4 linked regions of the Lytechinus pictus genome follow. The protein of the gene in region 3 binds, or shares a complex with, the protein of the main gene of each other region. Links are inferred from orthologs where the notes say so. Each region holds a gene or a part of one and is shown on either strand. Other genes may lie near its edges.

What was found.
Region 1: vesicle transport protein SEC20-like (region 3) and vesicle-associated membrane protein 7-like share a complex: the UniProt entries of both Homo sapiens proteins name them as parts of the SNARE complex. The link is inferred for Lytechinus pictus from reciprocal best matches to the Homo sapiens genes BNIP1 and VAMP7.
Region 2: vesicle transport protein SEC20-like (region 3) and BET1-like protein share a complex: the UniProt entries of both Homo sapiens proteins name them as parts of the SNARE complex. The link is inferred for Lytechinus pictus from reciprocal best matches to the Homo sapiens genes BNIP1 and BET1L.
Region 4: vesicle transport protein SEC20-like (region 3) and vesicle transport through interaction with t-SNAREs homolog 1B-like share a complex: the UniProt entries of both Homo sapiens proteins name them as parts of the SNARE complex. The link is inferred for Lytechinus pictus from reciprocal best matches to the Homo sapiens genes BNIP1 and VTI1B.

What each region holds. Positions count from the first base shown.
Region 1 is NW_026974140.1:15,218,427-15,226,828, forward strand, and holds the start of vesicle-associated membrane protein 7-like, read left to right. Parts: upstream 1-4,933; 5' UTR 4,934-5,022; coding exon 5,023-5,331; intron 5,332-6,003; coding exon 6,004-6,053; intron 6,054-6,876; coding exon 6,877-6,964; intron 6,965-8,402. UniProt on the Homo sapiens protein: Involved in the targeting and/or fusion of transport vesicles to their target membrane during transport of proteins from the early endosome to the lysosome. Required for heterotypic fusion of late endosomes with lysosomes and homotypic lysosomal fusion.
Region 2 is NC_087250.1:19,732,814-19,740,662, reverse strand, and holds the start of BET1-like protein, read right to left. Parts: upstream 3,219-7,849; 5' UTR 3,129-3,218; coding exon 3,095-3,128; intron 1,490-3,094; coding exon 1,383-1,489; intron 418-1,382; coding exon 361-417; intron 1-360. UniProt on the Homo sapiens protein: Vesicle SNARE required for targeting and fusion of retrograde transport vesicles with the Golgi complex. Required for the integrity of the Golgi complex.
Region 3 is NC_087256.1:1,387,198-1,394,973, forward strand, and holds the start of vesicle transport protein SEC20-like, read left to right. Parts: upstream 1-4,513; 5' UTR 4,514-4,539; coding exon 4,540-4,620; intron 4,621-7,776. Other genes in the region: ectonucleoside triphosphate diphosphohydrolase 4-like, read right to left, coding at 4,139-4,146. UniProt on the Homo sapiens protein: As part of a SNARE complex may be involved in endoplasmic reticulum membranes fusion and be required for the maintenance of endoplasmic reticulum organization. Also plays a role in apoptosis.
Region 4 is NC_087251.1:45,500,451-45,508,299, reverse strand, and holds the start of vesicle transport through interaction with t-SNAREs homolog 1B-like, read left to right. Parts: upstream 1-4,564; coding exon 4,565-4,664; intron 4,665-7,849. Other genes in the region: mucin-2-like, read right to left, coding at 747-987, 1,753-2,119, 2,397-4,270. UniProt on the Homo sapiens protein: V-SNARE that mediates vesicle transport pathways through interactions with t-SNAREs on the target membrane. These interactions are proposed to mediate aspects of the specificity of vesicle trafficking and to promote fusion of the lipid bilayers.

The sequences.
Region 1 (8,402 bases), on a different chromosome or scaffold from region 3:
AACAGCTTTATGAAACACCCGCCTGGTCTTTAATTATTATTGAAATATTGTCTATAATTCAAACAATAAAAAAACAAAAGAAATAGTGAGGTGCATCATTGGCTCTCACATTTGCATATCACTGAGTTGTGCATATAACTGTTTTGTGAAAAATAATTAAGCGAAACTTTAAAATGTCATAACTTTCTTTTTTTACGGCAACCGATTTCGATGAAATTTTCAGCATCGACGGTGCTTGTTTGATTTTTATCTGTTTATTCAAATCATGATCTTTCTGGGGTGGACTTGACCTTTAAGGATATAACCACAAATTCCTGATAATTAAGTGCATGGCCTCTGGGATAGTTGTCCCCACCACTTGTCATAATACTCAGTTGCCATGTTGCAATTAGAAATTTACATACTTTTACTAACTTTGAGATCTCGGTTCTTTTTGCTTTGTCTGATTTATTTCTTTCTGTTGTACTTATTTTTCTCTCTCTCACAAAATGTTTTGACCAAGGGTATAGATTCCCTTAAAATCTGAAGAGAAAAAAAATCACTGCTATTGTGTCCAACTTCATAGGAACATTTAGCCAAGTTCAACTCCGGGGTTAAATTATCCAGGTTATATACCAGTACCAATGAAATCTATCGATTTGGAAGAGCAAATCACAACTGTGAAAATATAGTGGACTAGTTGCCCATAATGAAAAGGGTGATTATTGAGCCCAAGACTGGCAGTGGTTTATAGTGGGCTGAAGATGCCTATTGAACCACCGTTTGGAATGCTATATACTCCGGGATGCTACTGTTGATATACATGTACAAAGGTTAAACAAATGAACAAAGAAACTTTAGTTATCATTTTGAGATCCCTTCCTCTGCACTTTGTGTCATTTATCACCCCCAGGTTTTGTGACATTTCTTGAAATTTTTCATGGGGGGGGGGTCTAGCTGCTCCCGGAAGAGAATTATATGACAAATGTAGATATTAACAAATTAACAGCGTCAAATGGGACCTGAGAATGCTTGGACTTTAGACTCAAAATTTAATTTAAATGTTCATCAATAAACGACAAGGCAGCAGTTTATTTGCTAGGTTTTAAGTGTCAGTGGGTATATTGTCCTTTTCTCTTGGACAATGATATAACAACCATTACTCCTCTCATCTAAACGGGCGGATCTGAATCATACAAACCTCCCTTTTGTGCCCGTAGTGCCTCCACCTGTTCAAAATGATGAATTGTAAAATAAACACTTGAATTTCAGAAAAGACATCCTGAAATAACAAAGTATGAACATTATCTACCATTGTTCTTTCTTGTGTTCTTTTATTAAATAATTAGAGATGTCATTGTATGACTATCATTGTCATGATTATCTCGGCTGCGCTGACATACCGGGGATCGGATGACATCCATTCCCGGATCCGTTTCACATCACATCTTCAACGCCCAAATTAAAACAGCACGCGCGCGATCACGAGATTCGGGGAATGGAAGTTGAGATTTGAGTATACCAGTCGAGAACGTAACCCGCTTATTCATTGTAAGTAAGAACAAACTGATTGCACTATGTCAATCAGAATTTACTATCGTCTCGGCTTTCTGTAGTTTCCATCTTTGGTACTGAGTTGAGTTTCATTATGTAAATGAAGATCAATTAAGATAAACTGGCCAGCTTGAATTGAGGGCTTGTTTGTGACTGTTTCTATACGTACCGTAACTGACATTGCTTTACAGGGGCATGACGGGGGAACTCCCCGCGAGGTAAGCAATCCATGCCCGTGGCATGGGGCGTTGCAAGAAAACCACCACAGTTGCGGGCCAAAAAGAGTGCACACGCCCTTGCCCTTATTCTAGAGTAGTCCTTGTTTGAATCTTGGTTGACTTTAATACTCTTTGATTCTCTTTTCAATCGGGGAGGGAGGGAGAGGTAAGAAACTAGGGCCAAGTGGAAACTTGAGTCAGTGACTCACTCACTGAGTGCAGTACTGCTTTTGTTTGAAATCGTTTACTGGTACATTTGGTACCGTATTCCTGACAATTCTTGGACGGGTAAAGGTTTTTGATAACTTCGTGATCTCAATGTAGATGATCATTATATTTACCTTGCCAAGTGCTAAAGAATATTCTTGCATTGATTTCATTTCATTTCATGACCTGCCGACGTCGGTCCCCTTTAGCTTTCGCCCTTTTAGTTTTTGGACAGTACCTTTAAATGGCCGGACAGCTGGCAAAACACGCACGCGCGCTCATTATGGACACTATTATTTTATGAAGTGCGACGAGCCGACGATGGAGCTAGCTAGGGTCTTAGACCAAAAGGTTCGGTCTCTGTTATGTTGGTTGTTCCACTGAACTCCGGTGGCCGTTGGCTCCACTCACCAAATACAGAGACCGAAGTTCTAGCTCGATCTGTACAGGGACTCAATGCCATATGTTTATGTATTAGTTCGGTAAACAAGGGAAGTGGGAGTTGCGCGACAGCCGATGTAAGTCGCTGTTTTTTCCTCTTTTAAGTTTATTTTCCTGTTTTGGTGCATTTCAGGCCAAAACAGAAAAATAATCTTTATTTTGGCACAGTTCTTTTCATATATTTTTATGAAATAAAGACAAAAATCGATGAGCCCCATCGGGGGACTTTGCATTCTTAACCCTCTAATGGTGGCTGCATGATGGTGAGCCGTCTGTGTACGAGGAGAAATAAAAAAAATTAAAATTGTAAAAAAAAATCCTCGAAACAGACGGCTACCAGCTGTCTAGGGTCTTCTTTGTTTTTAATTGAAATAAAGGGGTGGGTGAGCTTATTAATTGTTTGCTTTAGTTTTATTTAAATTATGATCTTAGTGATTCAAATTATAAAGGGGGGGCTTCATTGTTTGTTTTTATTTCATTTCTTATTGAATAAATTATTCATAGTGATTGAAGGGGGGGGGGGCTCTTTTTTGTTTTATTTATGATAATTTTTATTCTTAGTGATTAATGATAAAAGGGGAGAAACATGGCTTGTTAAATCCGTATTTTTTTTTTTTTAAATCTCATTCTTATAGAGATTGAATTCAATAATAGCATTGCTTTATTCTTTGTTGCTTTTTATCTTAATTTTTATTTCTATATTGTGATTGGAATGATAAAAGGACGAGGTGGGGCTTCTTGGTTGTTTATTTGTTTTCTAAATTATTTTTATTTAAGTGATTAAAATGGTAAAGGGGAGGGTAGGCATTTTTTTTTTTTAGTGATTAAAATGGTTAATGATTTTTATTTTTAGTGGTTAAAATGGTTGGTATAAGGGATGGTAGACAGGTCATTTTTTTACCGTTTTATTTATTTAAATTTTTATTCTTAGTGATTAAAATAACTTGAATTTATTAAATTAATTCTTTGTATTAAAATCATGAAGCCAAAATACAATACATTTATAGTTCTTTATTTACTTTTGTTTTGCTTATTTATTTTTGGATGAAGTCAAAATATTAATATACTACCATCATTTTTAATGTATGATATAGTGAATTAATTCTTTATTACAATACTGTTACAGAGCAAAAATGTCCATCAGGCGGATAAATTAATCCCTATTTTTTGTGGGGTGGGGGCATTTATGGTTTGGATTATGCCCATCCCCACTAAAACTGTATTTAATACATACATGTGCATCTGTAGTTTGCTGTTGGCGAGCTCTTCAATCTGGTCAATTCCAAGTTCCAGATTTTCATAGACATCATCATCATGTTACAAAGTGAGGTAATCCTTTTGACCTTGATCATGTTGATCACTTCATCTGGTGGAACAGTGGAAGTGAATGGATTTGCTGTATTCTTGTTTAGGTCTCATATCCTCGGTGTAGTAGACTCGTCTGACCTACAGCCTCAGGTCAAATAGTGAAGTGCGATAATTATTAATTACAGTACTTCCACCATCATTGTCTTTGTAGGATATGCAAACTACTTTGAATAAAGAAGACAATGAGAAGCCCAATTTTAATGCATTTAAAGAATCTTTTAGATTCCCTAGTACCGGTAATAATAATAACAAGAGAGAGGGAGAGATCAGTGATAAATATTATTCAAATTTTTGGGTTTTTTCACATAATTCAGGATGAATTTAAAATCTGCATTTCTTTCCAATAATATTGCTAGATCTGATATTTGCTTGTTTAGTTTCAGGCTTCTTTGCATCGTTCTTCATTCTCTTTAATATTTCTTACATTGTAGTAAAATGTGTTGTTATTTGTTAGAGTACTGTGCAAGAATATGTGCATGCTCGTCTTTTATTAAGATTGGATCAACCACTACTGGTATACTGTTTTTGGTATTCTCATTTTGAGTCTGTCTTAAAGCACCAGTCCACAGCCAGTAGCTAGATGCACAGAGAAATATGCAAGACAATTTCCAATATTGGCAACTTTTTGCAAAAAGGAAAGATAATTTCATTGAAATAAACAAAGTCAACAACAAGGTAATTTTTCATTCATTCCACCTGCTTGTAGGCTAAAGGAGAAAAGATGTTCTGTGGACTTTGCTTGACATTTATTGGGGATCTGTATTTCAAAACATGGTACAGTTTTACAGCTGAAGATAAGACCCAAATGTGAATAGTCATCATGCAGCCATATTTTGTAACAAATTTTATGAAGGATACAGTCGCTTTTTGATGCGGGCATCTCGTGTCAAGTAACAGTTAAAAAAAATAAAGGTTCTTTAAATTACATGTATTTGAAGACTTATGATATTGCACAGTGCAATTGAATACCTCTATCTCAAGTATATGAAACATTTGGATACCAGCAAAATTTCATGTGATCATTAATTCCTCTCAAGAATTAATGACCCAGGTGTTATTAGTTTGCTGCAAAAGTTATTTGTATGTAGTTTCACAGAGCTTTCATAGTGGACAAAGAAGCAACCCATTCAGTTTGTGATATGCTGGGTTGCTGTGCTGGTGTTAACCATTTTAAACCTCAGGGGTGAATACAAATCAATCTCTGTGGAATTATTTCATCCTGTTTTAGTTGATATGTGTAATTAAGAAAAAAGAAATGGCTCCAATTCCTATTCAGAAGCGTTCATATCTCTCCTACCTTTCAGAGTCCCCGGTTGATGGTCTTGATCACATCTACAGGAGACCATCTGACGGAGACAAGATGCCTATACTTTATGCAGTCATCGCTCGTGGCACCACGGTGCTTGCAAACTATGCAGCTTGCCAGGGAAACTTCACTGAGGTGACAGAGCAAGTACTGATGAAGATTCCTCCACAGAATGCCAAGTTGACGTACTCACATGGAGCATACCTCTTTCATTACGTCTCAGAGGAGAGGATTATATATATGTGCATCACAGATGATGTAAGTAGTACCCATTCAATATGAGAACCACTTGGTTTAGTTCCCATAGCCATAACCATAACCCATGTCCAAGAAGTTCAAGTTGTAGTTGGTCCCAAGATCTTGTTTTCTCAAGATGTCATACTCGTTTCTGAATCAACTTGACAAACTATTACATGTGACTGTTGAGTGATGACTTTGAGAGAAAATCTGTAATGTTTAGGTTAATTGTTACCACAACATAATGTAGGTTAATTGTTACAACATTGTTCAAACTTTTATTATTGTATCAATAAGAGTTCTGATACAAGCCAATATGAAATATTTAACCACCCTTTATTCTGAAGATGGCTAGCACATAACACTTTAGTGATAAAGAAGAAGCTCTGTCATTTGTAGAATACCATGTTTATTTTCTATCATGGTAATGATTTGGAACATTACATTCCTTGTAATTAAATATTTATTCTGAGAGTTTGTATAATGATTAAAATATTGATATATCACACAGTAAAATAAAAAAATATATAAATGCAGAAAATGGATTTGTGTGATTTTGTGTAGTAGTAGGATGATAAAATGCTGCTAAATTACCCTGAAAAGAAAATAAAAAGATTTATTTTGTATTATATACTTTTTATGGTTCAAATGATCATTTATTAATTGGTCATTGAATATTTTTCTTCTTTCCAGGACTATGAAAGGTCAAGAGCATTTGCATTTCTCCAGGAGATCAAAAAGAAGTGAGGGCTTGTTTCAAATATTATTTGCCTTTTTATAGAAAAATGTATTTTATGGACTTTATATCACATGACATGGAAGAGCTGATCACATGTGAGGTTACAAAGTCTGAACGTTGAATATCCCTATATTAATCGATATTTGCCAACCCTTCATTCATATGCTGCAATTACTTCTTGTTTGTTATTCAAACCCAATTCGGCATTAGAGAAATTCCCCCTATTGAAAAAAATAATTCTAAACTGTACTTGTAGTTTCTATAGCACAAGTCAGGCAATTGTTAACTTTTTTAAATGTACATTAGCGTCTTCACTGATTGAGATCAACAGTAAGCAAGAAATTCCTTTTGTAATTTGTAATACTTGAGTGGCTCAAGTTGGGCAAGACACTATTACCAACCATACATACTGTATATAGTTTGTGGGATTAAGAATGTGTTTAATACATGTACATGTATCAATCAGTAGCACACATGATATGATGTCTCTATGTGCCTTAAAGGACTAGGACATTATTACCCCAGTTTAAGAGCATGCAAGCTTTTTAAGGGGCTAATTCCTGCATGTAATTTGATATGAATACCCCCTTATTTTCTATAATTAAGACAATTGTGCCATAACTGTGATACCAATGAAATAAATATGATTAATGCATGATAAAGACACTCTCCAAAGTCCCAATACACCATTAAATAATTTGTAACATATTTTTTACTTGTGTAATGTATTGACTTTACCTTCAGTATAAGCTTCTTTCAAAATAGAAACTGAAACCAGATATCTTCAATATCATGATTTTTTTTAATGTCATTATTCCAACTTACAGATTCACAGCCACTTATGGGTCCAGAGTACACACAGCGCTTCCTTTTGCAATGAACAGTGAATTCTCTCGAGTATTAGCTGCACAAATTGTAAGTCTAGAAGTAAAAACTTGTCAACAATAGCAATTTGAAAATATTCAGTCTCGGTCAAAAGAGCAAAGAATGTAGGCTGGTCCCTAAAATATTTACATAGATAGTTGAAAGAACAAGAAATAAATGAAGAGATGCAAAGGAAAAAAAAGGCATTGAGTATGATGTTTGATTTAGGTATGAATGCAGATTGAAGATATCTTATAACAAAATAAGATATTATGAAGACATTGTCATTTTGACTGAATACCCTAGAGTGGAATTGCCCAAGTGGTAGTTTTACTTTCTGTTCATAAATTATCTAATTCTATCATTCAATTCTAAGAAATATATTTGATCCTATACAACCTGTAATATAATTTTGCATTGATCGACTGTTTATATTGTGTGGACTGTTTTAACTCTAGAGACTGCATTTATAGTTTGTTTAGAAGTGATAAGAGGGGGCATTGTCTAGATCATTTCTGATAATCATCCACTTGTGATTTTATGAATCTGTATAGTAGTGTAGCTGGTTTTTTATTAAAATGAAATCCAAGTTTAATGGGTCTATCACCAAGCCACCTGTACTTATTTGAATTTTCAATTGATAATGTAAAAATAAAAAATCATGAAAATGATCTAAAGGGATTAGAATGGTTTTAAATTTGATATTAATTGTATAAGCTAGTGCATCAAATCTGCAATATGGCAGGAAGCATGTCAGGGGTATATAGTTTTTATTTGATTTTATTCTATTTATTGTTTCACATTCCACAAAAACATCTTTATTAAATGAAAAAATAATGAAAATTACATTCACTTATTTACAAAGTAATAAGAATCTCATGAAAATGAAGAACGTATTAAAATCATAACTTGTAAAATATAGGTTCCCAATATATGCATTCATACATGTATCTCTAATTTTAGAATCTACAGTCTAATAATATTCGGTTGAAATATCAAAATGCATAAAACGGTTATTGTTGAGAATGTTATTTTGAACAACAGGATTCATTTGCTAAATTGACATATAATTTAACAAACATTTTATTTATTATTAGGATTTATCAGAGCTTAAATAATGCAGAATATAGATCAATTTATTACATTCTTTGACAGGGGAGATTGGGGTTATATTGAACATTTTGACCAAAATGGCTGTAAAATCCAAATAGATTTTATTCAAGAAACAATCTAAGGGCTACAAATGTACCTCATAAAATTCTTTAACTTTATGACGGTTACTGAAAAAAATCCACCTTGAACACAACCAACTCAAGTGTTCCAACTTCCCCATATATGGGGTAAGTTGGATTATGGTATGGGGTATTAAAGTTGGAACACTGCATGATCAGTTAAGAAACTGTACTTTGAACTATTTAACTATACCATACAATAACAATTAAACGACAGAACTGAATGAATGAAAAGGTAAATTATGCTAAGAACTAAT
Region 2 (7,849 bases), on a different chromosome or scaffold from region 3:
ACTGATATAGCCCAGCTCAAGGACTTTTTTCACTTAATAATGTGTATCATATTAAAAAAATGATACCTAAATATGGGGGGTGTTTCACAAAGATTTAAGCGTGAGTTAAAGTCACATATACATAATACCGAGTTGCGTACAGTATAAAAGGCTTGACCGCATTGGTCAGATCATGACAAGAGGATGCGCACTACTGTGTATCTATCAATAAGATCGCGCGTTGCATATCATGCACGCGTCAGCATTTAAGTGCGACTTTAGTCATACTTTGTGAAACACCCCCCTGGTCATGGATGTGTCTTTGGTGACTGTCCCTAACTCTACCCCCCCCTTCCAGATCAAACATATCTCTTGTCTTACCATTCCATCAAGATAAACATTTTGGTCATTTGTGTCATTCTCCATATCCTTGGCAAGCTGAAAGAAAACAAGAAAAAAGGTAAAGGTCATTATTCTGAAGTCTGGTTTAACTAAAACCATGGTTGAAGTTGGTGTTAAATTATGAAAAGCAAAAAATGTCAAGATTTTGTTTACATTGATTGCATCCTTTTTTATGTATACCGTGTTCTGTATCCATGCATGACTGGTAAAGAAAACTATTTACGATATTATTCTTACAGTTTTGAAAGGTAAAGTGCCAAATAAGCTGATAAATTCAAAACATTGGCCTTTTGTATACGTAGAGCATGATGAATTGCCAAAAAACATATGAAAGCGTGAAGATGAATACGTCATATCTGGAAAATATTTTGAACAAACATGCATTTTAGTTGTTGATGCTGCTGGCTTTCCATAGTTGTAGTTGAGTGTATCACTGCCAGTCTGCCAAAGCTGATTGATCAAATGATTCATAAAAAAATATTAAAGAAAAGGACTTTTCTGGCATCCAACGACCTATGTGACCAACGACCTTAATGTCAAGTGGAAATTGGGCCCTCTGTGCATTTAACTACACAAGAATTAGATTAGACTAAATGGTATTAGATAGTGTACTGTAAGACAAATAGCGATTCAATTTGATATTGGACCAAATGCATTCAGCCCATATGTTATAAGATTATCTGATAACAATAATAATATAGGATTTGTATAGCGCACGTATCCACCTTGCTAGGTGCTCAAGGCGCTCCTATATTACCCCGGTTAAACTGGTCTACCGATTCTGGTGCGCACAGCTTTTTGAGGAATTACTTGCTGCTGATACCCATTTACCTCACCTGGGTCGAGCACAGCACAATGTGGATAAATTTCTTGCTGAAGGAAAACACGCCATGGCTAGGATTCGAACCCACAACCCTCTGTTTGAAAGGCGAGAGTCAGAACCACTAGACCACGACGCGCCCACTCAGACCTAAGTGATTATGAACCCATAGACTACTCACAGATTTCAATGTTGAGACCTTAGCTGCTAGACCGAGTGTCATTCGGTCATTTTCGGCTTCAAGCATGTCCTCCGTACTCATTTTACCACCGTGGTTGTTTTGTCCACCTATTAAAAAAAAATAACAAGGAATTAATTCACACACAGGTCAATAGGGACGGGTAAAATCTTTTACAAGTTTGAAATGGACTGAAGTTGGCGACTAAAATCATGCGGACAAAAACGGATGAGTCCTAACAGTCCCAACAGAGAACAAGGTTTTATCATAACAGTTTAACCTTGTTATATCATAACCTTGTTCAATAAATAAGTGGGTTAAATCCAAGACTGAGTGATTAGCTTAAAAAGCCTCAGGCCCAATATTGAATTGCAAATTCAATCTACTTCTTCCTGATTTGGACAGACTGGGTAAATGGTCATTATCGTGAAATTGGGAACCACCGTTTACTTCGTACAGCAGCGCTTTATAGTTCAGTCACAACGCATGGTTCCCTATTTTCCACCTCCATTTACTTTGTACACACGTGCACATGCACAAATCAACGAGTGGTTCCAAAAACCATGATTTGGCCGGTAAATGACTTGAGTAATGAGTAGTGTCCAAATATTGGACGAAAAAGACTTCAACTACAGGGATCCACACTGGCGGGGGACTTGCATACATGTGATACATGTACTGTTGAACTGCACACACAATAGATCCAGGTTGCTGCTCAGAAAAGCTATTCCAGGGGTTAAGATTCTTATGACCCTCACTAATTTTTAACTCCAAAAGATCAATGACCAAAAAAAATCTTGTAAGGGGGAAGTGATTTTCGCAGGAAATATCGCCACCAATATGACACATATTCAATCTATCGCAAAAAGATCTGCAATGGCCATCGCGGGTTTCCACACGGCGGGAAATTCAACACCCTCCCAAATATCGGACATCTCGTCCGATTGCACTGGAAAGCGTGCTGTTCACACGCCCACGCTCGCATTTCAGAACGAAGCCACCCGGAGCTAAGCGAAGACGTCCGATATTTAGAGCCGAAAGAGGTCCATATGGAAAGTAAATAATTATCATTTACAGATTTCTACATCAAAATTATTAATAGAAATAATTCAAAATCGGCATTTGCGCAGCTGAAATAAAAAATGTTTTCTCAACAATCAAGCGATTATTTTGGGGTTTAGTCTTTAGGGCCTAGAGCGCAGTTTAAATTGCCAAAATTGATCGCGGCGCACAACTTTACACTTCTTGTATTTGGCCAAAAAAAAGCTTCTGGTAGTATAAGTGAATAATTTCCATTTAGGCCTACCACATTTTTTCAAAATTTGATTTTTACAAAAAAATAAAACTAGGCTACTAAAGTTTTCAACCACAAATAGACATGATTAATTTCATTTGATTCAATATTTCAATGATTAGGCCTATATTTTTGTTTTGGTCCAATCATGCTTAAGTGTCCTATATTTGAGCACTTTATTCTATAATTTGTTACATATGATATAGAAAAGAGTTGGAATGAGGAATCGATCTGTCAACGAGTGAGAAAACTGGTGTTGATTATGAAGAGTTTACAAACACAAAATTGTACGTGTGGGACACGTTGCAGTACTGTTTGAAGAGTTTCAAGAAAATAAAGGAAAGATTTCCATTAACTTATTTGTTAAGCAATAAAGTAAATAGAGTTGAATAAATCAGTCCAGTAATTTCAAAATATTTACCTGTTTTCTTCGATCCCCAGTCCCAGTCAGACATTATTTCAGGGAAAATAGTGAGTTAATTTCAAGCTGCCGATATTTGTGTTTACGTTTTCAATTCCACGTAGATTAGCACCGACCGCAACGTTGATTCAATGCCCAGTTTCTTTCTCACAAAAGTTAAAGGAGAATGAAACCCTTGAAATCAGCTGAATCCATATCAAAGAGATAAATCAAAGAAACACATTGTTGAAGGTTTGAGGAAGATTGAATGAATAATAAGAAAGTTATGAGCATTTGAATATTGAGATCACTAATGCCATGTAGATCCTCCCATTGGCAATGCGACCAAGATCTAGATGTCACTGATGAACAACTCTCCCCTTTTGGACACTGAAAATATACCCCAAAACATCTCTTTTTGCTCATTCTAATCATATGACAAACGATTCATCAATGATATAATGTTGTGAAACCTCTGTACTTGTCCTCTCATAAAGAGAACACCTCACCTTGTGACAGACTCTATAAAAGTGAGAATATAAGTGAAATATGTACTAAAGTAATGAGGGAGTTGTACGTGTGTGACATCACAGATCTTGGTCGCATTGCCAATGGGAGGATCTACATGGCATTAGTGATCTCAATATTCAAATGCTCATAACTTTCTTATTGTTCATTCAATCTTCCTCAAACTTTCAACAATGTGTTTCTTTGATTTTTCTCTTTGATATGGATTCAGCTGGTTTCAAGGGTTTCATTTTCCTTTAACTTTGATTCGAGAACTACGAAGCCTCAAACCGGACATTTTTGACAACCAAAAAAAAAAAATTATCACGTACGTACGTAGTATTATTACGTACGTACGTGATAATTATTACGTACGTACGCAGTATTATTGCGTACGTACGTGATAATTATTACGTACGTACGCAGTATTATCACGTACGTACGCAGTATTATTACGTACGTACGTGATAATTATTACGTACGTACGCAGTATTATTACGTACGTACGCAGTATTATTACGTACGTACGTAGTATTCTAATTTTCATTGGTCTATGGAATCCGATATTCGCCGAATGTGGCCGACATCGGCACCCCGCATTGGCCCAACCAACGTCAGCTTGCTAGCTGGGACCATGGTTGGACCATAGTCATGCTGGTGGTGATCAAGATTTTTAATCGATTATATAGGGCCTATATAACAGGGACCCCTTACAAAAATGTCCTGTGGTAATACCATATAATTACCATAGGACTGTACCACACGATTACCACATATATTGTTGTGTGGTAATGCTATGTCTTTATGTCCTGTGGTATTGTGTGGTAATGTGTGGTAATGTCGTGTGGTATTGTCCTGTGGTAAATTGGAACATTTACCACACAACATTACCACAGGAATACCACATGAATGGATTAATATATGGTAACATTTACCACACAAGGGATTAATTTATGGTAACAATTTTTACCACATACCATTTACCACATAGATTATCACACGACATTTACCACACCATTTACCACACACCAGTTACGACATGCATTACCACACACCATTTACCACACAAATTACCTCACATTTTACCGCACACCAGTTACCACACGCGTTACCACACATCATTTACCACACGAATTACCTCATATTTTACCACACGCCTTACCACACAAATTACCTCACATTTTACCACACACCGGTTACCACACGGGTTACCACACACAAATTACCTCATATTTTACCACATGCCTTACCACACAAATTACGTCACATTTTACCACACACCGGTTACCACATGCATTACTACACACGATTTACCACACACGTTACCACATACACTACCACACACCAGTTACGTAACTGGTGTGTGGTAATGCATGTGGTAACTGGTGTGTGGTAAAATATGAGGTAATTCGTGTGGTAAATGGTGTGTGGTAAACACTAACCAGTTACCACACATATTGTACATAATACACATAATACCATGCATCAGAGTCATTACCCAAAATGTGTGTGGTAACTAGATGTGTGATAACTGATGCATGATAATGTATGTTGCAACTGGTGTGTTGCAATGTGTGTGGTAACTGGTTAGATACATCACAGATCATGGGTATGATTTTGGTAGCAGTAGAATGTGTTCATGACCCTATGTACTTTTATAAGATTAAGAAAATACAACACCTTCAATGAACAGACAACAAATGATTTTACAAGTGATATAGAAAGTACTGGTATTTAGCTCATAGAGTCATCAATTTACAATACTGGTTTAGATTTGATATTGACAAAAATTGTGTAACAGCTGCTTTACTGTACAAACAGTGTAACATAATAGTAACTATCAAAGAAATTAGTTACAGTGCATATAAATACTTTTAAAACAGATACATTTCTTCTAAATACTTTAAAAAGTTACCTCAAAGGTTATCTGGCTTTTCAGCAAACCAAATTAACGACCATTGTAGTTTTTTTGCAGGTCACACATACAGAATGGACTGATTTACTCTTTGTTTTATGCTTAAAGACAAAAATGATTAAACTCTTAATCGTTTTTAAGAAAATGAACAAAACATAAGGATGTGTCTACAATAGGTAATATCATATAAGTAGCTGCGGCAAAGTGCACTGTACTCAAAATTGCGTATAACAAAATGCATAATTATCCCAAGTTTACTTCAAGGCTGAAGGGCAAGTAGAAATAGACGAGAGATGATAATATGTATTTGGAGAAAATGAAAACTAGGACAATACCCTGGCATGTAATATCTGAATTAAAGGAAAATAACACCCAAAACATAATATCACATGATATTATTGATAAATACAGGACAATCAACATGAATCCACTCATACCCTAATCCAATTACGGAGTACCACCTTTTCAAAGTTGGCCTCTTACAGTATGGTTCGAAGTTTCTGGATGGAGGTCGCCATTTTCGCGGGGTTAGTTAGGAAATTATTACATCAGCGACGAACTACATCTCTAAACGTTTAGGCATTATATATTCTATTTTATCAATAACAAATCAAATGTACAGATAAAACTCATAAAAATATTAGTTAAAATTTGTTTAATATATGGTAGGTTCAAAATACAATTTGATGAGTTTTAATGATAAGATTTACACCCCAATTTCCGCTGCCAATTTGTAAATCGTAGATTAGGGTGTAATTTTTATCATTAAAACTCATCAAGTCGTAATTTGAACCTATCATATAATATTAAACAAATTTTAATTAATATTTTATGAGTTTTATCTGTACATTTGATTTATTATCGATGAAATAGAATATTTAATGCCCAAACGTTTAGAGATGTAGTTCGTCGCTGACGGAATAATCCCCATCCATAGACTTTGTACCAGAAGATGCCAACTTTGAAAAGGTGGTACTCCATACTGGGACATCGGATTGGGGGTATATGAGTGGATTCATTTTCATTGTCCTGTATTTATCAATGGTATCATGTGGTATTATATTTTGGTTTTTATTTTCCTTTAAGATATTGTACTGGTTTATATCATGGCATTACAAAGTTCATCTGTAGTGCACACTGTGTCAAGTGCACAAACCTATTCATGGTTCCCACAGAAATTTGAAAACAGAATTCCATGACCTCTCCATGACTAAATTGCTGCTTTCCATGACTTAATTCCTTTCTGGCACAGTTTACAAAATCAGACATGTTATGATCATGAACACCAATTATAATAGTAGAGTATAATCACAGAGTATGAGAGTTGTGAGACATAAAAAACTAGAAAGCTGTCATAGCCAAGAGGTAAATGCAATTCCATGACTTTTCACATATCCCTGACTTTCCATGACCAATTTTTTTCCAGGATTTTCCATGACTGTGGGAACCCTGTAATAATACTGCATTGACAGAGCTCTATCATTTTTAAAGTTAATTTCAATTTCCTTCAAACATTTTATTCATCTCTTTTTGGTTGGACCTTGAATATAATACAATACAATGTTTTGGCAGGTCGTCTATAAAAGCATGTACATCGTTAAAAAAGGCTTTTAGCAGGAACTTTTGGCAAGTAGTCAACAGTATCAATGCATGTAAATTTGGGTGAAAGAATCATACATGTACATTAATTCTTAAGAAAAGTTTGTGGTTGTATTACACTATCACTTAAACGTATTAAAAAGACAGCAGTTGCAGCAAACAATTATTTCATGAGAAATTGTCAAAATATTGTACATAATCTCTAGATCTGGTACATTAATGTAAGCTTGTATTTTTGTAAAATCACTAATTTTGAACTTAAAATTAATTATTTTGATGATCACTAACACAGAAAAGAACATGTGGGACAGGACAGTGTATTATGATTGATTTGAAAAATACCTGACATTGGATAGAATTACATGCTTATTTTGCTCATTTCTCAGCAATTACACATTTTCTTCCCGAGCTATAATTAATTATGGCACATGTCTTTTATATTTTGCTGGTAATTCTATTGGGTTCTGTTTGAACTCATTTTAAGATTGTTACTACAACTGGTAATTTATCTTTAAAGTTGTACTTGTATATGATACGGGCTCAACATAATCTAAAATAAAGTAATTTTTACCATGCAAAATAGTGAAAATTTTATCAAAATCAGATAAAATTTAAAAAAAAATAATTACAAAAATATTGGTCATCAACACATGCAAGTAGATACATGTAAGTTTATGATATCATGCCCACATTTTTATTGTTCTCATGTTACCAGATAAAATAATAATTTACTTCATGTGTGTAATAAGTATGTC
Region 3 (7,776 bases):
AACAATACTGCTGTAGGTATGAACATTATGTTGGTGACGATAAATGACAGGAAAGAAAAGTAGAAGGATCATGGCTGGTACACATCTCCCTGAATAATCATCTTCCGTAAGGGACAGATACCAGGGGGAGGGGGAAGCTGGAAGTTTGAGTTCATGCAATTTTTAAAACTTTTTTTGAGCATTTTTTTCCCCCATACTCCATTGAGACAAGGTGTTTTTTTTTTCAGTGGACCAAGTTTTTTTTTTTTACTCTGATGTTGAGTCAAGTTTTTGCTATTGCTCATTTAGCAAGTGAAGTTTTTTCAAACTTCCAGCCCCCTTCCCTGGATATCTCTAATGGTGCGTCCCTAACAAATATGAACACCCTTTCCTACCCACATCTCCTTCATTGACAACTTGGATATTTTGGAAACATCCACTTGAGAAAATCCCCCTAATCGACTGGTGGGCATTACGCTCCAGTGGTTTTGTAAACAACTTGATACATACTGTATGAAGGAGATCTTGTCAGATGATAAATCCAATCAGCATCGAGTACCGTGAATGGAAATTAGAGGGAACAATTCTCATTGGTCAATTCCAAGCAGGGAGGACAGGGCTTCGCCAAAATTTACGAGCTAGCTCCAACTTACGGTGCCACATGTCAGAGGGTCAGAATGAAGAGTTTTTTCTCCCCTGATTTTTTCCATCATCCCACATTTTCACACACAAACATCCACACATGTGATCTGTTAGCAAAGTTGGGAAAAGAAGCAACCAATCTCGCAAAGCGTGAAAACTCCAATGTTAATTTCGGTCATTTGCTTTCTCTTGCCTTTTATTTTCGCTTGTGTTAATATAACTTTTAGGCCTGCATGGGAGTACACATTGATTGGTCGAATGGTTTAAATGGCGTGCCCGCCAATCAATCAGCAAAATTTACACTAAAGTGAATGTTCGGCAGATCCCGATTATGACGTTGGGATTATAGCTCAGATACCCAAGTAATAATAACAAAATGACAAGAAAACAATGATGACAACAGTTTTTTTATACTTGATACAGGTTTAAAAATGATGCTACCGAGGTAATTTTTGAAAAATTAGCAATGATTGTATCACATTCACAGTTACACAACAACACGAAAGAGCTCCGAAAATGTTAATCCCACTCGATCTTGCCCTCGATACACAAAATAAGTCATTGTCTGCGTGCTCAAAACAGAAAGTAAACACACAACCATCTCACTTGAGCTGATTGGACCTTCGGCTTCGAAAGCCAATGAAACCTTCGGGGAAACAGAAAAAGCCACGTGGTTCCCTTATCAGGAAAGGTCGTGACTTCAGAAATAAATTGACCCCTCCCCCATGAGGGAGAGAGAGAGAGAGAGAAAGGTAGGGGGTGTGAGCCGGAGAATTCCTTTCAAATTTCAAACAATGCAACCTTTTTTATATCCCCCTCACACAATCAAAAGACATTCCAACACGCGCCGCCTTCATCAGTACTTTCTTGGTTAGTCTAAAAAAATAGACCCAGTTATACATGTAGGTTCAAATGATAAAAATTTGTAATTTTGAAAGGTATTTCAAATGAAATATTTTGCAAAATATTTTTTTTGAAATACATGTGTAGCATCGTGGGCAGTGCCACAAGTGGGGGTGGGGACATGGTGTGGGCAAGGAATGAATTTTTTTCAAGTGAAATGCTCCACCTGTGTGTCAGTCTCAAATAATACTTCATGAATGAGTTGTTAAAAGAGAACGAGAGAACTTAGTTGATTCAAGATAACTTGAATGAAGCAGAGTGGAAGAGAGGAGAAAAACAATTCGAGAACGTTTCTGAGTGATGGTAAATTACCAATTATCTCTGAAATATTCTCTATATGGTATTTTCATTGATGATTATATGACACCGAGGCTGTTACTTCAACATTTAATTCCTATTTTCATGATTAACAAAAAAAAGCAACAACGAAACAACCAACAAGAAACAACGACTTCATACCAAAAAAAATCAGACCTTTCTTACATTTTCCGTCAGAACTGATCAAATTTTAAATACCCTCAGATGAAAGTTGGCATCATTCCACGAGGTTTACTCTCTACTCTCTTTTTTTTCATAACTCCCTCCGTCCCCTTCTCTCTCACCTTCTCTCTAACTCTCTGTGCGGATCGGATTGGGGAAAGTGTCTGCGTTGGCGTATTTATTACATGAGCTCCGATGCTCCCTCTCCCCCTCCCTCTCCCTCTCTCTAGTGGACAGCCAGGCGTTGGCTTGCGATGACGTATTAACAACATTATAAGTGCACGGCATTTAAGTGCTGTTAGGGCGGGGATCCATTCTAACGCTGGTAGTGATACCAACCAGCTGGGTTATGTCGGCATAGAACTATCGTAAATCACTGCCTCGCTTGACAGTGAGACCCAGACTCCCAAGGGATGAATACGATATGTGAGTAGTGCTTGGAATGCATGGGGTCAGCTAAGGACAATCAGGTCAGCTAAGGACAATATGGGTCTGTTTATTGTGCTTGATAAACAAATAGCAAAATCCGATATTTGCTGCCGATATTTTCGACCGATACCGATCATAGGGATAAGTATGTGCCCCCGATCATCCGATCCGATCAGAGCTCTCACTTACAGGGTTATGCCAAGCATCCTACAAAATCTTCTTAGACAGTCCACGGGTGTGTCGTTGAAGAGAAATCCAGTCATCTTCATTGAGGGATTTTGATAAATAACGCACAAAATGTAATTTGTCAAGGTAGAACATGGAATACAATGTTTGTTAATTCAAAAGATTTCATGTAGCCTGAGTGATTTTTAATTAGATTAAATGAGGTGATCCCCCAATTTTTTTAAAGGGAGGGGATTGAAGACATATTGCACAATATAACATTTTAATAGAATTGGGGGCTTTGAATATTTAAATTTGTATTAGATATAAAACTTGTCCAGAAATAAGCATTTAATGTCAACTTTCTCACTAATGTCTATACTGCTATTTCTCATTTTAACACCACTTGTATGCTAATGCTCAGTAATCCATTTCTTTGCACCCATGGACCAATCACCCTTAAAACTTATTCTCATCTGCTTCTTGGCTTTCACCATCACTTCATGCATGCTTCACAATCATCCTTTGCTGTCATCCTGTATGCACATCTCCCACACCTCATCTTGCTTTTACAATGTAATCTCTCTTTTTTGGTCTTGTCTTGAAATGCTTCACACATCACAATTTCCAAAAAATTCTTATTCACAAGCAGTGCTTGCTCCTCAGGAATTAAATCATCCATCCCCGTTCCCCAGAGTTACTTGAATTAACTAAAGTTCAAGTGCTAGATTACAGAAGGAAAAATGGTCAAGATGAGTGTGCCCGATGGTTACATTCTATTTATTTGAGCAAATGGGGGCGAGCGTCGCGTAACGTTGGGGAAGTACAATAAGAAACAAGATGGCGGCGTAAACATCGGGCAAGTCTCTTCCGTCTTTTCACAATATTTTTCTCATTTCGTTGATGAATTCTTGTTTAAAAATAACGAGAGCGTAGAAATGTCGGAAATGAAGTTTTATACATGATTTATGGCTAGATGTTTTAGAAGGAAAGTAGAAATCTCGGGGGCGAAAGTTTCAGGGTTTTTTGCGGTACACGCAGATGAATAGGAAGGACTCATTGGCGGCGGAAGCAAAATTTTAGGGGGACTTAGGAAAAAAAATTGACAAGCAAAAAAAAAAAAAAAAAAAAAAAAAAGGTTAGGCCTAGCCTAGGGCCTACCGTATCAACAAAAAATTATTTTAGGGGGGGTCCGTCCCCCCACCTAAAATTTAGGGGGGACACGTCCCCCACGCTTCCGCCGCCTATGGAAGGACTCCCTGGCTTCATTTAGAGTAAGCCTACGTTAGTAAATGATTTTAACTCTCAAGAAGCCGCCTGGCTAAGGCCTAGCTAGGCCATGGCTAAATCAATGCGATGGAGCTCCTGGACTCGGGCTGGAGTTAGCCCGCCCCGGCCCCGGTCCCCAGCCGCGCAGCGGCCGTAAGTAAGTGCAAAAGCCTCAGCTCGCGCTCGCAGCCGATAGAATCTCAGTCTCAGACTCAGTCTAACGTTACTACTCTCATCTCAAGATCATTCATTTCTCTATTACTATACGTACCGAGCCATTTAAACAGATAACTTCAACCAACATTTAGCAGATGATTTATCATTTGACACAAAACACCTCGATCTATCCCTAAGAAATTCCGCATAATTTTCTTCGTTCTTGCTAGCAGCTGCCTGAGCTGAGCTGAACCGATTAATGAGGTCGCCGACGTGTTAACATCATACGTGTACTTTACAAGAAATTTGGCAATCAATGCCAATATTTTTTTTTCATTTACTGATTGTTACTTTTTTTATTCCATTGTAGAATAGTAAAAAATATAAATATGCAAATTTTGTATTTTTTTAATACTAAATTGGGTTTTTTTATTTTAAAGGTGATTTTTATTTCTTATTTCACTTTCAGATCTTACGATTTCAATGCTGCCAATTTGTATTGACAAATTTGTCAAGATGGCTTTAGACGCTGTGAGAATTAGAACTTGCGTTCAGGAAATCGTCAAACATGACTTACAGATCAATTCATATGCTCAGGTAAGTTCACGTACTAAAATCAATCGTTGATTTCTACGATTATTTGATGAAAATTATATTTTATCCCTAATTTTCTACATCGTACAATTAAGTTTATAATATTGCTATGCGATTCTGTGCGACTGTTTTTTAAACAGTCCCACATACCCAGCTCTGCGCTAGTAACTCTCCGAAGAATTGACAATGTCACTACTCACGTTAATTATGCGTGTCTATGTATGTTAGTGTTACAGTCTTGTAGTAGAGTCAGGTATTGTATTACCGGACACTGCACTATTATGATTCTGGACGCGCATATTACTGTGTACGAAAACAATTTCGTCCCGCAAGATTTACGCAGTTCAATTTCACAGAGCAATTGACATTTGATTTTGATTTGTTAATGTTAGAATTAAGTTATAATATAAGTAAGTTAGATTGAGAACAAGATTGCAAAAAAGCCAAAAACATTAATGGCGAAAAAATCAAATATTATCTTTTAAATTAAATGACAGAAAATGCTTAAAATATCATATGTCAAAGTTTTGCATTAACAATTGATATATTTTCTGGTGGAAATATGGGCATGATTTGCTGAATTTCAATCTTGTCCGCTCCTTCGATCGAATTGTGGTGTGGTGTATTGTGGGTGATCTTCGATGGCTAGCTAGTTCTCAAGGTACCCGTGTGCGAGGTTTACCGACGATCGACAGTGCATGATGTGCATCGATAGAACTTGATGAGTGTCACAATACGAACAAGCATAATATCGGAAAGTGCCATGCAGTTAAAAAGAACAAAAAAAATCAAATTAGTTAGCAAACGCAAATTTATTACCAACATCTGCTCAGATTCGATATAAAAAAAGCAAACAAAAACTAAGAATTTACTCATGATATGATATATGAAGAAAAAATCACACAAATTCTTTCTTACATCATTCTAATCAAGAATACTGACAAGAGTTCCATATGCACCCCTCACTAAAAAAGTAAAATTGAAAATAAAAACATGGAGAAGGTTCAGAATAATATATCTAGCCCTAATATAGAACATATATGATGGGGGAGTGGAAATACATACCAAATTTTTGGTTTATTCTGTCAAATTTCGAGCAGGATCTAGTGTGTGTAATTGTCCATAGACATCATTGGTTTATTTAGTCAGTAAAGGGTCTGTGAGTCAAGACTAGTTGAACTATTGGCTGATAATCATTAAAATACCCCTTCCGGTATCAGCACTTCTCGCCAGCATAGCGGGAAGAGGTCTTGACTGCAGATAAAACGAGGTGAGTTCGAGTCCCTACTAAGGTAAGCAGCAGTAAAAAAAATGATAGAAAAATCTGAAGTGAACGAACCGGAAGTCTCAACAATCTTTTGTTATTTTTGGTGGGGGTGCATATGGAATTCTTTCCAGAATATCTTTACCCATCCTACGCAGGCTTGGTCCTACGTACACACGTCCGGAATCATGATGTAATTTGTCGCATAAATAATTGTTTTTCGTGGAGGGGTATGCGGCAAGTGCGATGCAAAGAAAACAGTTGGTAAATATAAAATAATTTCATCATATGCATAATTTTCATAATATTTGGAATAGCATTTTTGTGCAAATTTTTCTTGATTGTATTTCCTCTAGTTGTCATTTTTAAAGCACTGAAATAAAGTTGTCCGGCAATAGGATACATTGCCATACTTGTAACTTAGATTCCCTTCCTCCGAGGTGTGGAGATCGGTGGAGAACCGCAGTTTGTTGAGATTTTGAAGCTTCTAATTGGGCCTGTCCGGTCGATGATGCTGGACAAGGACAGGTGAATAGTTCACGACAACCAGTAGGCCTACAGTACTTTAGTACTAGAGCTGGCGCACGGCCAATATTGGAGACTCTCTCCAATATGAAAGACAATCTTCCATATTCAATATGATATTGCAGACTTGCTTTTCAAAAGAACAAACGAAACACCACCAAAACGTGTAATTTTTCCACCCAAAATTTTGTCTCCCTGAGTCTGAGGTCAGAAGCCAATTTGTTTTGTGTGTGGATGACAACAAAAATCCTCATCAAAACAACAGTAGACTGAATTTTTTAAAGTAGACGGTGAAAAGGGGTAATTTTTCATGAGGAATCTGCTTGTCATATTTTTATTTGCCGCCAAGGTAATCCTTTTGCAGCAAATGTAAACATGAATCTTATCTTAAAGATACATGATATTTATCGGCCAATACAATTTACAAGTATTTTTTAAATCTAAGTTAGCACTGCTCATGATATTTTCGCCCTCTATACGCTTCTTGTAGCTAGGCTACGATAACAAAGACGGCAAGGTGGCTACAATAACAGACTGAGTAAACGCTCCTCTACTTTTAATATTTTGATTCATTATATATGTGTAATATTAGTTAAAGATATAACTATTTTGCGCCAACAGGATTCAAATGATATTGTAGCCCATTTCCATAAGTTTGGGCTCAAAAGCCTAAAGAAACAAGTATTTTGGAACAACATTATTGTCTCCAAAATACTTGGTGCGCGTAGAGCAATGGCATCCCGTCCCTGGCTCCGTGGAGATTAAGCACGTCAGTGATATGACATTAATCTCCAGGAGCCTCCTGGCTAGGTAGGCCTAGCTTGCCAGGAGGCTCCTAGAGAGTAAAAACAATGTACTAACGTATGCTTACTCTCCACTGAGTCAGGGATTGCGTCTCATTCATGTGCGTGTACCGCGAAAAAAATGAAACTTTTGCCCTTAGATTTCTACTTTCCTTCTAAAAGATCTAGCCCTAAATCATGTAAATGGGATACAACTTCATTTCCGACATTTCTACGATATTGATATCATTTTTGAACAAGAATTCATTTAAAAAATGAGAAAAATATGAAAAGACGGGGAAAACTTGCCACAATGTTTATGTCGCCATCTTGTTTTCTTTGTTTTTTTCCAAGGCTACAGCACACATATTGCGATATGCGTGCTGTAGCCTTGGCGAAAAACATGTTGGCCGGTGCAAAACTGCATTAGTGCCGAACTCTGTACAGTCCAAGTGGAATTCATATAGGGTCTATACCCTGGCCATGAATAATCTTAAATGTTTTTGGATCATTTTCTACTCTATTCCTCAGAAACAGAATCAGACCTCCTTAAAAAATCGATAGACCAAATTCAACCCTGGGCTTAAC
Region 4 (7,849 bases), on a different chromosome or scaffold from region 3:
AAAATAGTTGTATTAGTATTCTTTCAATTAATGTTAACCTCAAATAAAATGATATGTTCCATTCACATTTTCAGAAAATGAGTAAAATGCAATTTGTTCCACAATCGGATCGCGAACAGTCGTAAGGTGTGCGGTGGCCTTTACATATATGCTTACATTTTATTTTATGTTCAACCCTTTAATTCCCCATATTTGGTATTAAGTGAAATGTAATTAACTTGATAATTGCTGAAACTGGATTGAGCCTATATTAAATTCAAATGGACTAACTAGTTAAAGATAATCCCACAGACTCTATGAACCTACAAAGAGTTGATAAATGTATTTATTTTCATTCCGATATAATACAAATGGACTGAATATATATCTACAGTGTATGTGTTTTTCAGTGACCTCACTAAATCTTTAACTCCAGTTTACAAAGTTTCTATGGGTTCTTCTTTAGAATGAAAGATAGTCACATACTAAATGGAAAATTCCAGAGCCTGAATGTAGGCCCCAAAAGTCCTCCATACAATCAACAAACATGTACTATGTTCAGTTTTTATGATTATTTAATATACAATTGGCAAAAAATACTTCATATAATAAAATACTTTATATAATAAGGTACATTAACAGTAAATTAAGACATGTTCAGCTTGACATAATCTACTTGTTTGATTTGTCATGTGCAACTAAACATCTTAATATAACGACCCAAGAATTAAAAAAAGGGGGGAAATGAAGAAAGAATGTGTATTGACCTTTCACAGAATGATCCTTGACAGGAAAAACTGGAACACGCTCCAGACACGACGCAGCCATCTTCCTGGCTTCAAGATGCATTTCTTTGAGTGCTTTCAGGATGGTGGGAAAGATTGCATCTTTGGTTGTGGTCTGCTGGGCTCTGGCGACTATGTACTCCCAGGGAGTGATGACCTTAGACAGCATAGGCAGCGTGACCTTGATCAGATCATCGTCAAGAGGGGTCTTGGGGTCAAAGAACTGTAATATGAAGTCATCATGAATATTCATAAGATTGATGCATTGTTCAGTGAATACCATATGAGATTTTGAGAAAGAAGAAGTTCATTTCCTGATTATGAGATGAAAGGTCAAATCTATCAATCAGTTCTTTTACAACAGAATCATTAAAGGATTATAATGAGTAGAGTAAATGATGCTTATACCAGATCCGCAGAACATTTATTTCTGGGCCTATTTTTATAAAACTAATGTTTAGTAGATGATGTTACGATTCAATGAAAAAAATGACATTGACCAATCAAATGGCATCTTCAGTAACATTAAGCAGTACCTTTAACTTTATCATTCAATCAGGATTCTCATTTCATCTTTAATGATGAAAGGGATAGTGTTTGCAAAGTGCTAAAGCTAAACAGACATCCAGATGTATTATGATTTTGTTCCGATTGAACTTTTTGCTAACATTTAATGTAGATCTACAGGGCATTTGAATATCACACATAATTTCTTAATCAGTTGTTATTGAAAACTTACGAGACAAAGCAACAAATATTTCAAGACTTTATTGTAATTAATCAATTAGTAACAAAAAGCAGAATAAACTTTCAAAAACAGATTGAACAATCATATTACTTGCATTTCATAGAAAATCTTAAAATACTTTAAGCCCTATTTTGATACCATCATCACACCTTACGGAAATTAAAGTAAGTTAATTCAACATCCTGTATTAAAATGGTACCGTATTAAAAAAAAATCCCCTGTAGTATAATTTCCAGTCACCTTTGAAGTTGATGCTTCTGCCTTTGGAACATCTTTGCTGTTTGAGGTTATCACTGATGCATCGCCACTCTGATCAACGACCTTACGACCCGACCCTGGGGGTCTTCCTCTACCCCGCCCCCTTGGTTTATAAGGATAGTGGTAGGTAATTATAGCTGGTTTCGGCCGTTCTGGTTCTGGTTCTGCTTGTTTGTTTTCTTGGGATGTCTCTTCTGAAGAACTTGGCTTATCATCTTCGGGCTTGGGACTGGGAGATTGGTTCCCATTAGGTTTCTCGGCTGCCTCACTCGGGGATTCAGCTGCCTCGTTTGTCTCGGCTGCCTCACTCGGGATTTCAGCTGCCTCGTTTGGTGTCTCCTCCTTTGTTCTACAAGAAAATAAATATAAAACGAATTAAAAATACACCTTTGTTTTCATTATTTTTTCTCAACTGAACTCTTGCTTTGAGAATTATATGATGGTAAAAGTTGAAAAAATAAAAGGCTTTTTGAATAAAAAATTTGAAAGGTGAAATCAAGAAAAATTTCACAAATTCAAATAATAACCCCCCCCTCCTCTCTTTTCCTAGAACTGATGATTTAAACTTTAAAACAAGTTATGTTGTACAATGTACAGAGACTATTTAAAAAAAAAAAGACTCCTACTCTTTGTCACTTTGTTTCTCATCAGTCTCCATCTCCATCTGTGGGTCTTCATCTTCCGTCTTTGCAAACACGGCATCAGGATCTCCATGTGTCTGGTTGTCTCTGTAGTGTCTGGCCAGTCCGCCTCTTCCAATGTACCGCTTCTCACAGTTCTGGCATTTATACCTCCTCTTCTGATCATAGAAGCTAAGTGTCGAGGTTGCATTTTCACCATCATCATAATCCGAGTATTCTCCATCAGAGGAACCTGGCTGGTCTCCCATCTCTTCATTGGACATGGTTTTGTACTCCTTGATTCTATACAGTGGAGGCCTGGACACTCGTCCAGATCGAGTCTTGCAGTTGGCCGGTCTCTTCTGTCTCATGAGATGCAAGTCCTGCGAGGACGGCACTGCTGGAGCCATTCCCTTGGCCGCTGCTTTTCCACCACCTCGACCAACTTTTTTCTTTACTCCCAAGACTATGGCTGGCTTAGGACTCGGAGAGGATTTGACCGATGTTGAAGTGGGTGAAAAAGTTGTTTTTGTGGTTGTTGGAGTGCTATTACTGGGGAGCCTGTTGGACAGGATGGTACCGGGTGGGAAAGTTCTGACGGGTGTTTGCTGCTTGTTAGTTGCATTAGTTACTACTTTCATCATCGGAATAGTGCTTCCCTGTTTCTGACTTGTGGACAAGATGGGAGCAGAAACTGGAGTCGTGGTTGAAACTGGAACTTTAATAAGAGCTGGAGCCTTAGCTGGTGTTGAAGATGAAGCAGGTGGAGGAGCTGGGGCTGGAGTTGGTTTTGATGACTGGGTGGTCACAGTGGCTGGAGCATCTGGAACGCGAACAATGGTGATTGGTTGACCAGGATTCTTTGCCAAGAGGGCCTGCACTTCTGGGGTATTCACAATATTCGATATAAGCGTTTGGCTGAGAGCCCCTGTCCCTGGAGGGGTTCGAACAGTGATTGTTACCGGTGAAGGGGTTGAAGGTGCTACTCTCAGAGTTGGAACGCTTGTGATTGGAGCCGTCTGTTGCTGTGAGATGGCTTGAATGAGGCCAGGGGTATTCAGCAGAGATGTTCCAAGGCCAATATTACTAGAAGCAGAACCTGTCAACAAACTATTTCCATTCACAAGTAATGATGTATTTTGAGCTGATCTTGCCAAATTCAAAGATATTGGATTGGCCGCAGGTGCAGCTACTACAGAAGTGGGAGTGGTTCCTACAGCTGATGCAGAAGCAGTTTCCAGGATGTTTAATGCATCTTTATTTTTTGAGTTTTCGGTGAGAGAACAATCGCTGCCTGAATCGATCATGGTTGCAATGGACCCAAGTAAAGAACTTGCTGCAATATCTGATAAGACATTATTCGATGATGAAGACATGGCTGAATCATGATCCCCAGAAAGAGCAGAAGATTCGGTGTCAATTTTGGAAGATTCAGAATCAATTTGGCCAGTCAAACAATCAGCTTGTGATTCAATTGATCCATCAATCAGCCCATTGTCATTAGATGACGTGCTGTCAGCAATCAACATTTGATTCTGATCTCCAACGACGGGGAATCCATCTCCTGGTTCGGCTTCAGGAATGACAGTTTCAGAAACTTGTTTATCATCATGATCATCTTCTTCTAACAAGCCGCTACCCGCGGCTCCATCGGTGTTTGCGTCTGTCTCTCCTGCCGCGGCAGAGAAATTTATTTCATCTTCCTGTCCAGATTCATCCATCTTTGAGAGAGCCTCGGACAAAAGATCGGGTGTTTTTCCTTCCTTTGTTCCTGGAGAGCTTTTACCGATAAAGCCTTGCTGTTTTACATTATCCTGTGTGTCGGAATCGGGATCAGAATGGGTTATTTCTCCAATAATTGCATCCTCCGCGTCCGCCATGTCAAAGCTGCCCTCAACAAAAGTAAACCCTGCGAGATATATATATAAAGGAGACCCTGCGCAGTCGTTCTCAGTTAATTAAGAAGTTATTGTACCAAGAAGTACCGTAGCGTCTGAAATAGAATAGTATAAAACGACTGGTAATAGTCTAGGCACTTGATTGAGGTCACCTGATTGTGTTGTATTCATTAACGTTGTAAAAAGTTACGGATCGGGAGTCGGAGAGTTACACTTGGTCGGACTGAGGAGAAAGGATCATATTCTTCTGGATCTGTGTTAAATAAAACGTCCAAAATGTCATCGGAGCGATTTGAAAGGATTGAAGATGACTATAGAACTCTCTGCGACACAGTCAAGTACAAACTTGAAGCAAGAATTCCGAATTCATCTGGTGGTAAGTCACACACACACCCATCCACATTCATTTGAATTTTGATTGACTGAAAATGTGAAATGAATGATTTTGAATGACTGTCTTTTTTGTGAGTTAGAAGTTAGCATTGTTTGTAACAGACACTGGTGACTGAAGTCTATCTAACGTTAGACTAATCTAACTTTAAACTTAAGAATTGTATTGATCGACGTCCACTTAAGTTGAACTTGAAGTTGAAATTTTATTTCAGCTTTGCATGATCATGATGATGTAAACCAATTCATTAAGGAGTTGGATTTCTAAATTAATATTAATGCTTTCTCTCAAAGAACCTGTAATGGGGTGACCATAATTTGCGCACATTTCAGAAGTGATCCTGAAGTTGATTTTCAATCAAAAATATCTCACAGTTCACCCAAAATTAATCAAAATCATAAAAACTAAACAAGCCAATATCCCAAAGTCAAAATTCACTTGAAGTAGGTCAAGGGTTTTGCTGGTAGATCTAAAAATTCCATGGCGATCGACTAGTGCGCTCGGCTGAAAAGTTTCATAAAAAGTGTGACCTTAATTTGCGCAGGATCAGGATCATTTTGCAAAGCTTTAGAAAAGAAATCAAGCAGACAAAGGTAAAATAATTGTATCAGATGGAGGTTAAAATGCGATAGATTAGGTTGGTATCACATTTTACTTCCTTATTTTGGAGACTTTTGCTCACAAACTGGCGATTTCTTGTAACTTATCGAGAAGGTCAGATTTTCTCGGAGCAGACGCAAAAGGTAACAAAATTTGACAATGTTTTGCCAATATTTTCACAAATTGAGACCTTACCTTCAAGAAAATTACAATACTGAGGAGACTCTAATATGTTAATGTAATTTGGGTCGCTTTTTTCTTTTGGAGATATCAGTTTTTCAAGATATTAATTAGATATTGAGATATTCGACCGTGCGCAAAATTAGGTAACGCGCAAATTAAGGTCACACCACCATACCTGTTCTATGTTCAAGTTAATTTTTTAGTTTCGTTATTCATTCTTGTATTTTTTACTAGGCTGTTTCTCTGTAATACCTGTTAATTAAGCAGAGGCAGAACATAGATGCCAAATTGAAGTAGGATGTTGTGTCATCAACAAACATTGACAGAGTTTCATTAATTAATAAAGATGGACATTAGTCTAGACTCTTAACGTATGTGAAGGGCCGGAGGGGAGATTTTTCTTTCTTTTTATACTCTTCATACTTTATGCTGTTGAGCTTTTTCTACCTAAATTTTTGCTTTTCTCTCTTAGTCTTACTGTATGTCACTATTTGCAAAACCAATGTAGGAGCATTTGGGGTATTTGTTCAGATTTCAGATTGGCATGGGTAGAGCTAGACAGCTGGCAGCCGTCTGTTTTGAGGAGTTTTTTAACATTTTTTTATTTTTTAAATTTCTCCTCGTACACAGACGGCTCGCTATCGTGCAGCCACCATTAGGGGACTTGCAATGCAAAATCCCCCCGTAGGGGCTCTTCAATTTTTGTCTTTAATGAATAAAAATTTTGAAAATTAATGCGACCAAAATGCAAATTAATATTCCCTCCTGGCATTAAATGCCAAAAAACAGAGAAAAATCAACTTAAAAGGAACAAAAACAGTGACTTACCTCGGCTGTCGCGCAAATTCACTTCCCCGTTTTATCCGATCTTAAGTACATAAACATATGGCCATTGAGTCCCCTGTACAGATCGCGCTAGAACTTCAGTCTCTGTATTTGGTGAGTGAAGCCAACGGAGTTCAGCTGAACAATAACAGAGACCGAAGCTTTTGGTCTAGGGTAGAGCATGCATGGACATAGAAAATTTTCATCTGGATTGTACATGTTCAGGGACCTTTTCCAAATGTGATTTGAATATGTTGACAGTTTGACTGTTCTCTGTAATACCTGTTAAGCAGAGGCAAAAACATAGATGCCAAATTGAAGTAGGATGCTGTGTCATCAACAAACATTGACAGAGTTTCATTAATTGATAAAGATGGACATTAATCTAGACTCTAACAGTCAGTCCGCAAGCCCCTGTGTTAATGAGCAAATGAGCAAGATTTATCCAAGTCCTCTCGTGGCTGAATTCATGTCCCTGCAAAATCTCGTGAATTGTGAGACTTTCTATCTCAAAGAATTTAACCACTTTCTCCTTGAGTAATATTGATTATTTTTGTACCATGGGCAAGAGTAAATGTTACCCTTTTATATTGGTCATTTCTTTTGAATGAAATATTTTGATAAATAAGTGAATTTTTTACCTGAAAAGATGCATCAAACATAATTTTCTTCCTCTGTTTTCACTTGCAAATTGTGCAACATTTTGTGTTTTAGGCACCAACATTATTTATATCATCAGAAAGCTCAAACTCTATACTTTCTTACAATGTCACTCTTGATATGTGGCATCTTTTAGATGGGTCAGCAGCCAGTTATTTCCATCAAGATGTAAGACGAGATTTCTGAAATTTCTGAGTAACATAAAATCCAGAGTTCTGATTGGCTGAATACTGTTTTCAAAACAAACAGGCGCGGGTAATTTGAAGAGATTACCACATGGTGAGTGTGACCTTGCAGAGGCCCAGTGTGGGGAACATTGGAATTTGCGTGGGTGTGTGGTCTATGACCAATCAGAGCGCAGTATTCTTGTTTTTGAGCTGCAAAATGTACTTGGCCTATGAAAAGCTGGCTGCTGACCCATCTAAAACACATCTTCTTATAAAAATTATATCATATTAAAGCTTAGATCTTCAGCTTTATCATGATTTAAAAATCATTTGTGCCTAAACAGAAATTAAGTGTGAAAACAACAACTTTTGTTGCATGAAAAAAAATATTTTGTTTCATTTTTTAGATCCAAATTTTTCCCTATATTACAACATTCTTTTAAAAATCCAAACACATGACCTAAAAGAATGATTCTTCTTCTTTACAAAGATACCAAAAACATGAAATTTGGTCAATATTTAGAGCAGCAATGGCCGAATAAAAAGAGGTGTTTTGGTTCGCACCAAGCTCATTAACTATGCAAAAACCCTCTTGTCATGAATATCACTTGGATAAAAGAAGCTACTTTTTCAGGGCTTGCGGACTGACTGCTAATGTATGTGAAGGGTCGGAGGGGAGATTTTTCTTTCTTTTCATACTCTTCATACTTTATGCTTTTTAGCAAACTTAAGCTT